Linked DNA regions of Macaca fascicularis. The protein of the gene in region 2 interacts with the protein of the main gene of each other region in a biochemical or structural test. Links are inferred from orthologs where the notes say so. Each region holds a gene or a part of one and is shown on either strand. Other genes may lie near its edges.

The links.
Region 1: of the proteins of CUL2 (region 2) and DCUN1D5, one has a biochemical effect on the other in vitro, tested with the Homo sapiens proteins (2 studies listed by BioGRID, with this or other methods). The link is inferred for Macaca fascicularis from reciprocal best matches to the Homo sapiens genes CUL2 and DCUN1D5.

What each region holds. Positions count from the first base shown.
Region 1 is NC_088388.1:102,097,811-102,102,367, forward strand, and holds the start of DCUN1D5 (DCN1-like protein 5), read right to left. Parts: upstream 2,956-4,557; 5' UTR 2,649-2,955; coding exon 2,563-2,648; exon of another isoform or gene 2,460-2,562; intron 117-2,459; coding exon 25-116; intron 1-24. UniProt on the Homo sapiens protein: Contributes to the neddylation of all cullins by transferring NEDD8 from N-terminally acetylated NEDD8-conjugating E2s enzyme to different cullin C-terminal domain-RBX complexes which is necessary for the activation of cullin-RING E3 ubiquitin ligases (CRLs).
Region 2 is NC_088383.1:35,802,599-35,806,418, forward strand, and holds part of CUL2 (cullin-2), read right to left. Parts: intron 1,350-3,820; coding exon 1,225-1,349; intron 1-1,224.

The DNA.
Region 1 (4,557 bases), on a different chromosome or scaffold from region 2:
ATCTTCTTACATTAATTTCATTACCTGCATATTCATAAAACCAAGCCAGGCACTTCTTGCTTGAAAAATGTTCCTCTCCACTTATTAGTCTAGCAGGGGGTTGGGATCTGCAATAGCTTAGAAAACACACAGATGCCTAAGATTTTTATCACATCTCAACTCTTAGAGAAAAACTAAGTTCAAAATTAACTACTTCAATTCACATTAAACAAAGATTTTTTTTTCTTCGGTTGGCATTACTGGAAAAAAATTGAAGTTGTTAAGTAACTGCAACTTGAAACAGTAGTCTATACGTAAGAATTATCGGCTAACAAAACCCAAACACCTCTTCACTCAGTATCAAAATCCAAAAATATCAGTAAGTTATTTCCTCACATTTTAAAAGACTACAAAGAAGTTCAACCTAGTAGTTGGAAAAGTATAAATATTTATTGTGATTCTATTGATTTGTATACAAATTCTATTTGTGTGTAATAGATAAATATTGAAAACACGAAGTATATTTTGATACTTAATGAATCAATATTTCAAAATAAAATGTTATATTAAGAGTTGTTTTATCACCTAAGCTTAGATTTTTAAAGATAAATGATGACTTAGGACCTAAGGGTATATTAAATTTCACAGATTTAAAAAAACACAACAAAAAAACCCTAAAAGTTAATAATAGTCCAAATAATTGGGACAGGGTATTTAATCCTAGCTCCTGTTCATTCTGTTTCATTTTTTTCATAAAATTTCTCTTTTTCATAAAATAACTAAAATTTGGTAAGCTCAAAATGGCCTCTAGAATTTAATGACTTTCAGAGAAACTTTTTTCAAGGAACTCAAATAATTATCCTACAATGATATAGAAATGCTAGAACCTCTGTAATTGAGTAATGTAAAGTAAGAGTATTATATTTAAAAATTTAAATTGATAGAGCAAAGTATCACCTGAGTTCTAATAATACTGCCTGCTCAGCAATTTTGATGTACTTAAATAATTTTAATACATTATATACTTAAGATGGCCATGAGATAGAGTAATACAAAAATGAATTAATAATTTGCCTATATATTATAAAAATATGAGCTACTAAAGAAACCCATGTCAAATTCTAATGTTGGCTAACAAGAGGTATAAGAAAAGTGTATCATCTTTCACATTAATAGCCCAAGAAATACTTCTTAGACTCCTTTACCAAAACACAGTAATGAGGGAAAAAAGTCGACCAATATACAAAAAAGATGACTAGATAAGTCATCTACCTCACAGTTTAAGCAGATCTCTGTTTAAGGAGAGCTCTAGCATTACTTCCTTCTTATAATCCTGGCTACTGTCTTCTTTTAATAGTAGCACCTTAAGTTGTCATATCAAGTGCCAAACATTGATGAAAAGGCAGCTAATATGGGTATTTTTTAAAAAAGCATTTCTCAGTCGGGCGAGGTGGCTCACGCCTGTAATCCCAGCACTTTGGGAGGCCGAGGCGGGCGGATCGCGAGGTCAGGAGTTCAAGACCAGCCTGGCCAACATAGTGAAACCCCGTCTCTACTAAAAATACAAAAAATTAGCAGGGTGTGGTGGTGGACACCTGTAATCCCAGCTACTTAGGAGGCTGACGCAGGAGAATCGCTTGAACCCGGGAGGCGGAGGTTGCAGTGAGCGGAGATCGCGCCACTGCACTCCAGCCTGGGCGACAGTGGAAGATTCCGTCACAAAGAAAAAAAAACAAAAAACAAAAACCACTTCTCACACCAAAATTGCTGTTATTTTTTTGTAGCATATAATTTTGCTGTGATGCCTCCAGGATCAAAGGGATCAAAGAACTACTACTATATAGTTCTGCCTTGTCTTCTTTCTTACCAATAGGACAGAGTACAAGAGTTCACAAATCATTTAATTTATGCTGAGAGCGAACAGCGTCCTGAATGCTAGAAGACAAAAAGCATGCAGGGCCTTTCCAACTCTGCACACAGGCACTTGGCATAGGTGAGGCACTATACTTCCAGAAAATGGGGCTCCTGCAATTTAAAAGGCCTCCTGCTGGGACCTTCCGGGTTAGGCCACTCCAAATACTAAATATGGAGGCCAATTACAGCATACAAGTTTTCCTTTCTACCATTCCCAAGACAGTTGACAAGATTCCTTATGTGCTGCTTTCTTCACACTCTACAAAGAAATTCTAGAAGTGACCCTTCCGCGGAACTGCACTCACTTCTAAGTCTAGAAATAAAGGGCAGAGGAGCGATACGGGAGTAGGAGATTGAGGGTCGGTTGTGGGGTGGGGGTGGGGGGCAGCGCAATTTACATATGCATCTGTTCCCCACCCTGCAGGGCACGTAGACTCTAAACGTGGGCGGCTCTTCTAGTCTCTCCATAAACGCCAGCGTGCACACACTCGAACACGAGGTCGGGTCGGGCGCGGAGACTCGCGGTGTTCGGCACCTACCGCCTAGCTCGATCAAAGGGGCCTCACCTGTCTCCAGCCCCAGCCCGGCAGGCCGGGCCCGACTCCTTTTCCTCCAGTTGTCCAGCAAAGGAGGGAGGAGGGAAGCTTGAAGGGTGGGGGGAGATGGTACCTGGAGATTTTACACTTTTTGAGGCCTCCGTCTTCCGCTACTGCGGCTGCCACCCCAGGGGATTTTCTCTTCTTCTTCACCGGCATCTTCCGCCCTCCCCGGCAGGGTGGGCAGGGGAGCCGGGGAAGGGGGTCCCTGTCCGCTGGAAGCCCCTCAGCGCTGGCACCCAGTTCCCAGAGACAGCAGCAAGCGGAGGAGCAGAGTCGCCAGCCCGCACCGGCGCGGCCCAGCCCGGCCGACGCCCGCTCCCAGGTATCCTCGTCGTCTTTCTCTGACCGGGACAGGGCTGGCTCCTCGCCGGTGAACACTGCGGTTCGTTCTCACCGGGAGGAGATAACGCGGACAGCGCGGCAGCTCCACCAGTCACAGAAAGCAGAAGGCTCAGCCTAACCCGGAGGCGAATCGCTGAGGCCCGGAAGTGACGCGATCGCGGAGCCGGTCCCGGGAAGGGGCGTGATTCCGGTTGCTTCTGCCACTCGTAGGTAGGCCAGGCAGGGGGAAGCTGTCTGACCCTCGCAACTGCGGCTGCCCGCGGAATTCTGTATTCGGTCCAGAGTATCCTGACGTTTCTCATGGAGTTTCTGCCGCGCTCTGATGCTGGCAGTCACCGCCAAAAAATGAAACTACTAATACTTTGCAGTTGACGTTAAAAATAACCTGGTAAAGTAGACCAAGTTCCACTTCTGAGCTCTTCCACACGATAACCTCACCTGAAGTGTTCCCACCCCTTAAATACATTGTCACCCTGTGTCTTGCGTGTTTTCTTTATGGGCCTGTGATCAGCCTCCCACTCCCCCTTCTCCCTTTTCCCTACCTTTGCATATCACTTTGTCCTGTATTGAAACTTAGCTCTACCATTATTTCCGCAGAGCTCACCTCTCCGATAACAGATAGTAGATGACCGCTACTTAGTAGGGAGAAATTTGGGGGACAGTTCTAAGGAGCCTCCCCCTAGACCTTACTAACCAAAACACACTGTAATCTATTCACTTGCACTTAGGTGGAAATACTGTTTTTAAATAATGGTTATTGTATGTAAAGACATAGTAGAAATTCGTTAGTAATTATGTTGGTAAAATAAATTTATCTCTGCAAACCAACTGTCATGGGAGAAGACTAAAAGTCTGAGTAACAGTTGAAGTGGTTCCTGTGAAACTACCTTCACCATGGCACCCTAATCTGGCCAATCCGAATATCATATTTCCTTAGTGTTATTAATTAGTTCAGGATGGACGCATACTCAGGCTAGGCCAATGAGTGCCAGTGACACAAAATTAAACTACCAGGAAGCAATTTTATTTCCTATGGATTTGAACCAGAGAAGGTACAGAGAATGAAGCCAAAACTCAGAAGAGAGCAGTAGCAAGCAGAAAAATAGAAAAACCAGAATATGATTATATGATATGAGCCCCAAATCCATGATATGCCCTGGAATTTTCAGTTATGTGAACCAACGAATTTCACTATTTTGCATATTTAGTTCAATTCTCTGTTACTTAAAACCGAAAGAATGTTAAAGTATATGATCCTTCAACCCATTTAAAAACGCATGAGGCCAAAAAAAATCAAAACAGAATCAGAGAAAGTCAACTACCATCTGCAAAAAGCACAGGACAGAGGAACATGTTAAATACCCAATGCAATCAGCAATATCTAGATGTCAGAAAAGTCTACAGGACAAATGACCCAAATTCTGCAACAAATTATTAGGATGAGAGGAGAGAGAAGGAAATTAAAAGAGACTTAAAGGATATGTCAGTCATTTTCAGTGTGCAGTTCTTATTTGAATTTGAGTCACACACAGTTTAAACAATATTATAACATCTATGTAGCAATTGGAGATGTTACTGCTAGCTGGATATTTGGTGAAATTCTAGAACATGTAAAACTTATTTATAGCAATGGCATATCAGTGACACTTGGGGACAGAGATGGAGTGAGTCGGGGAAGACTGACTGCAAAGAAACATAAGGGAACTTTTTGGGTGATGAACAT
Region 2 (3,820 bases):
CATGGAATCTATAAACGTAATAACATAAACTAGTAAGTTTGACAAATAATACAGAGTAATAAATCTGCATAATACAAACTAATAGTTCTACAAAAATAGAAAACTGTGGTAAAAGGAATTTGAAGAAATTAAAAAATAGTAAACTTACACGATTGTGGCAGAACATAAAAACTAAAAATTATTACTTGCCAAAGACCAATCTGTCGCTAAGGTAACAGCCTCTAAAAAGTGCTCCTGAACAGTGACGGCTACACACATACACACAGATACTATCTTTTTTTTTTTTTTTTTGAGACGGAGTCTTGTGCTGTCACCCAGGCTGGAGTGCAGTGGTGTGATCTTGGCTCACTGTAAGCTCCGCCTCCCGGGTTCACGCCATTCTCCCGCCTCAGCCGCCTGAGTAGCTGGGACTACAGGCACCCGCCAACATGCCCGGCTAATTTTTTGTATTTTTAGTAGAGATGGGGTTTCACGGTGTTAGCCAGGATGGTCTCCATCTCCTGACCTCGTGATCCGCCCGCCTCGGCCTCCCAAAGTGCTGGGATTACAGGCGTGACAGATACTACCTTACAGATTAAGTCAAACAGCTCTACTTAAGAAGAGACAGTAACAGTTGAAGTTACGTCTCTCTTGCTCATCATCAACCGTCACCAGTAATAACAAGATTTGGTGATAGGAAAGACAAACTGTTACAGTCATGTGATTGGTAAAGTACTCAAGGAAGATGAGTATTAGGGACACGAGGGTTATTGTTTCCGGTATTTGGGGCAGCAAGCATATACTTACAGAAGATTATTTGAATCTAAATTTGCTTACTAGACAACCAAATTCACAGAATATGGAAAGGAGGAAAATTACAAGTTGTCTATATTACCGCTGATTAATACTACTACCATGACAACAAACAATGTTATCAACGCCAATTACAGAAAAACACAGTTACTTAGAAATGGCAAGCTTATTTTTCTGTGAAAAGTTAACAACTGTTCAAAGGACACCTCCGTATGGCTAAGCAGCAGCCTATCTCATCAATAGCTTTCTAATAATTTGATAATTCCAAAATGAGTCCAACAAGCTCTAGGTTTAAAACATTTGAATAAAGACATTTCTTTTGTTGGCATGGTAAGACTTTTTCTTTCATCTTTCAAAATAGTAAAGTCAAAGGAAAGACTCCACGATGGATCTGATTAGGAGGAAAACACTGCAGTTCCCCACACAACTCACATTTTCCTGAGTAAGGTTGCTGGTTGCTCGAAGGCCCTCATCATGGATGTGGTTTTGTAGCTCCTGAATCATATGAGGTAAACCAGTGGACACAGCACGGAGTAAGACGTACATATTTGCCATGTCTGAGAGGAAAAAGACATCTGAGGATTAACTCCTAAATATTTTCATTTATTAGGTAATAAATGGATCCAAGTGCAGGAATACAATCCAACTGCAGAGTACCCAGAGAAAAGCCCCCCATGCCCACCTCCCAGCCACCCAAGCCCCTCTCCCCACAGGAAAGGGATGTGGTTATTTAACATCTTCCCAAAGATATTTTGTGCAAATTCAAGTGAATACATATATTCTTCCCTTTGCCCCTTTTAATACAGTGTACTGTATTTTGTATATTATTTGTAGCTTCAGAACACATTTTAACTTAGTAGTCTTTTCCTATCAGTACACAAAGCATTTCTATGTATTTTACAGCTGCACAGTACTCCATTATGTGGATATATTATAATTTCTTAACAACTAATGGAAATTTAGGTGGTTTCCAGTCTCTTGATATTGCAATGTTACAATCAATAATCTTATACATGAGCAAGAATATATGCAATATAAATTCCCAAAAAAGTGAGGTTACTGTGTCAAAGTTTAATCTTGTAGACAGATCCTTCTAACCACAGCTGCCAACAGCAGAGAGTTCCTTTGCCAACAATGTGTTACCAAACATTTTGATCTCTAACACTGGGAGGTAAATAATGATCTCTCAGTGTAGTGGGTTTTATTTTAAATGTTTTATTAAAGCATCATACATACAGAGAAAAGTATACAAACCATAAGTGTGTATCTTACTGAATTATTACAAGTGAACACACAACACACCCATGTAATCACACGCAGGATAAGAAATAGGCATTACCTACACCCAGGAGTCCCCTTCATGCCTCCTTCCAATCACACACTCTTGCTCCTCTGCAAAGGTAACCACTGCTGTGACTTCTAAATCACAGATGAGTTTGAACTATATATAAAAATGGGATCACACAATTCTTTCACAACTGGCTTCTTGTGTTCAACAAAATGTGTATAAGGATCATCTATGTTGTTGTACCTGGCTTTAATTTGTTCATTTCCACTCCTCTATAATATTCCATTGTATGAATATACTGTACTATTCTACAGTTACTGGACATTTGAGCCGTTCCAGTTTACGGAGCTATTACAAATACTAATAATATGAACATTCCTGTAAGTCTTTTTGTACATATGTCCAGGCACTGGCGGTCAGAAGGTACGGTGGGGTGGTTATACGTTTAGGAGTAGAACTGCTGGATCATAAAATATGCATAATATATCCCACTTAGCGGTCAATGCCAGTTTCCCAAAGTAGTTGCATCAATTTATACTCTCACTTCAGTGTTCGAAAAGCTCCTGCTGCTTCACATTTCTTTTTATGTTTATTGGCCATCTGGGTATCTTCTATTCTGCAGTGTCTGTTTTTTGGCCATTTTATATTTTGGATATAAATCTTTGCTATTGCAGCTACATTACCCTATAAGTGTCTTCTGATGATCCAGTGGTTTTCATGGCTTTTTTTGAGACAGGGTCTCACTCTGTCACCCAGGCTGGAGTGCTCTGGCAGGATCTCGGCTCACTGCAACCACCACCTTCCAGGCATGAGTGATCCTCCCACCTCAGCCTCCCAAGTAGATGGGACCACAGGTGCACACCACCCCACCTGGCTAATGCTTGTATTTTTTTGCAGAGATGGGATATTGTCATGTTGCCCAGGCTGGTCTTGAACTCCTGAGCTCAAGCAATCTTCCTCCCTCTTAATGGCCTTTTAATAATCCAAAGTTTTTCATTTTAATGTAGTTCACTGGATCAATTGTTCCTTTGTGGTTAGGGCTTTTTGTGTCCTATTTAAAATATCTTTCCCTATCTCAAGGTTATGAAGATATTCTCCGATATTATCTTCTAAAAGTGTTATTTTTTTTACCTTGTACATTTAGATAAAAACTCTAGTGAATGGATTTTGCGTATGGTATCTGACGTAGTGATCAAATTTCATTTTCTTCCGAAATGGATATCCAATTGACTGAGCAATGTGTGTTGAAAACATCACCTTCTACCTGCTGCTCTGCAGCGCCACCTTGGCCTTACATCAAGTGGCCACATATGCATGGGTTGTTCTGGGGTCTCTTATTTTATTGTGATATCTGTCTGTCCTTGTACCAATGCCTCACTGTCTTAATTACTATAGGTTTTACAATTAGTCTTGCTGGCCATTAAAGTCTTTCCATCATACTCTTCAAGACAGTGACTTCCGGAATTAAAAAAAATTATTGTGTTTTGACTACATTGTCCTGGGTCTACGAAATCAATGTTGCTTTAAAAAACACGGGGCCGGGTGCGGTGGCTCACATCTATAATCTCAGCACTTTGGGAGGCGGAGGCGGGCGGATCACGAGCTCAGGAGTTTGAGACCAGCCTGGCCAACATAGTGAAGCCCCATCTTTACTAAAAATACAAAAATTAGCCAGGTGTGGGGGCAGATGCCCGTAGTCCCAGCTACTCGGGAGTCTGAGGCAGGGGACTCTCTTGAACC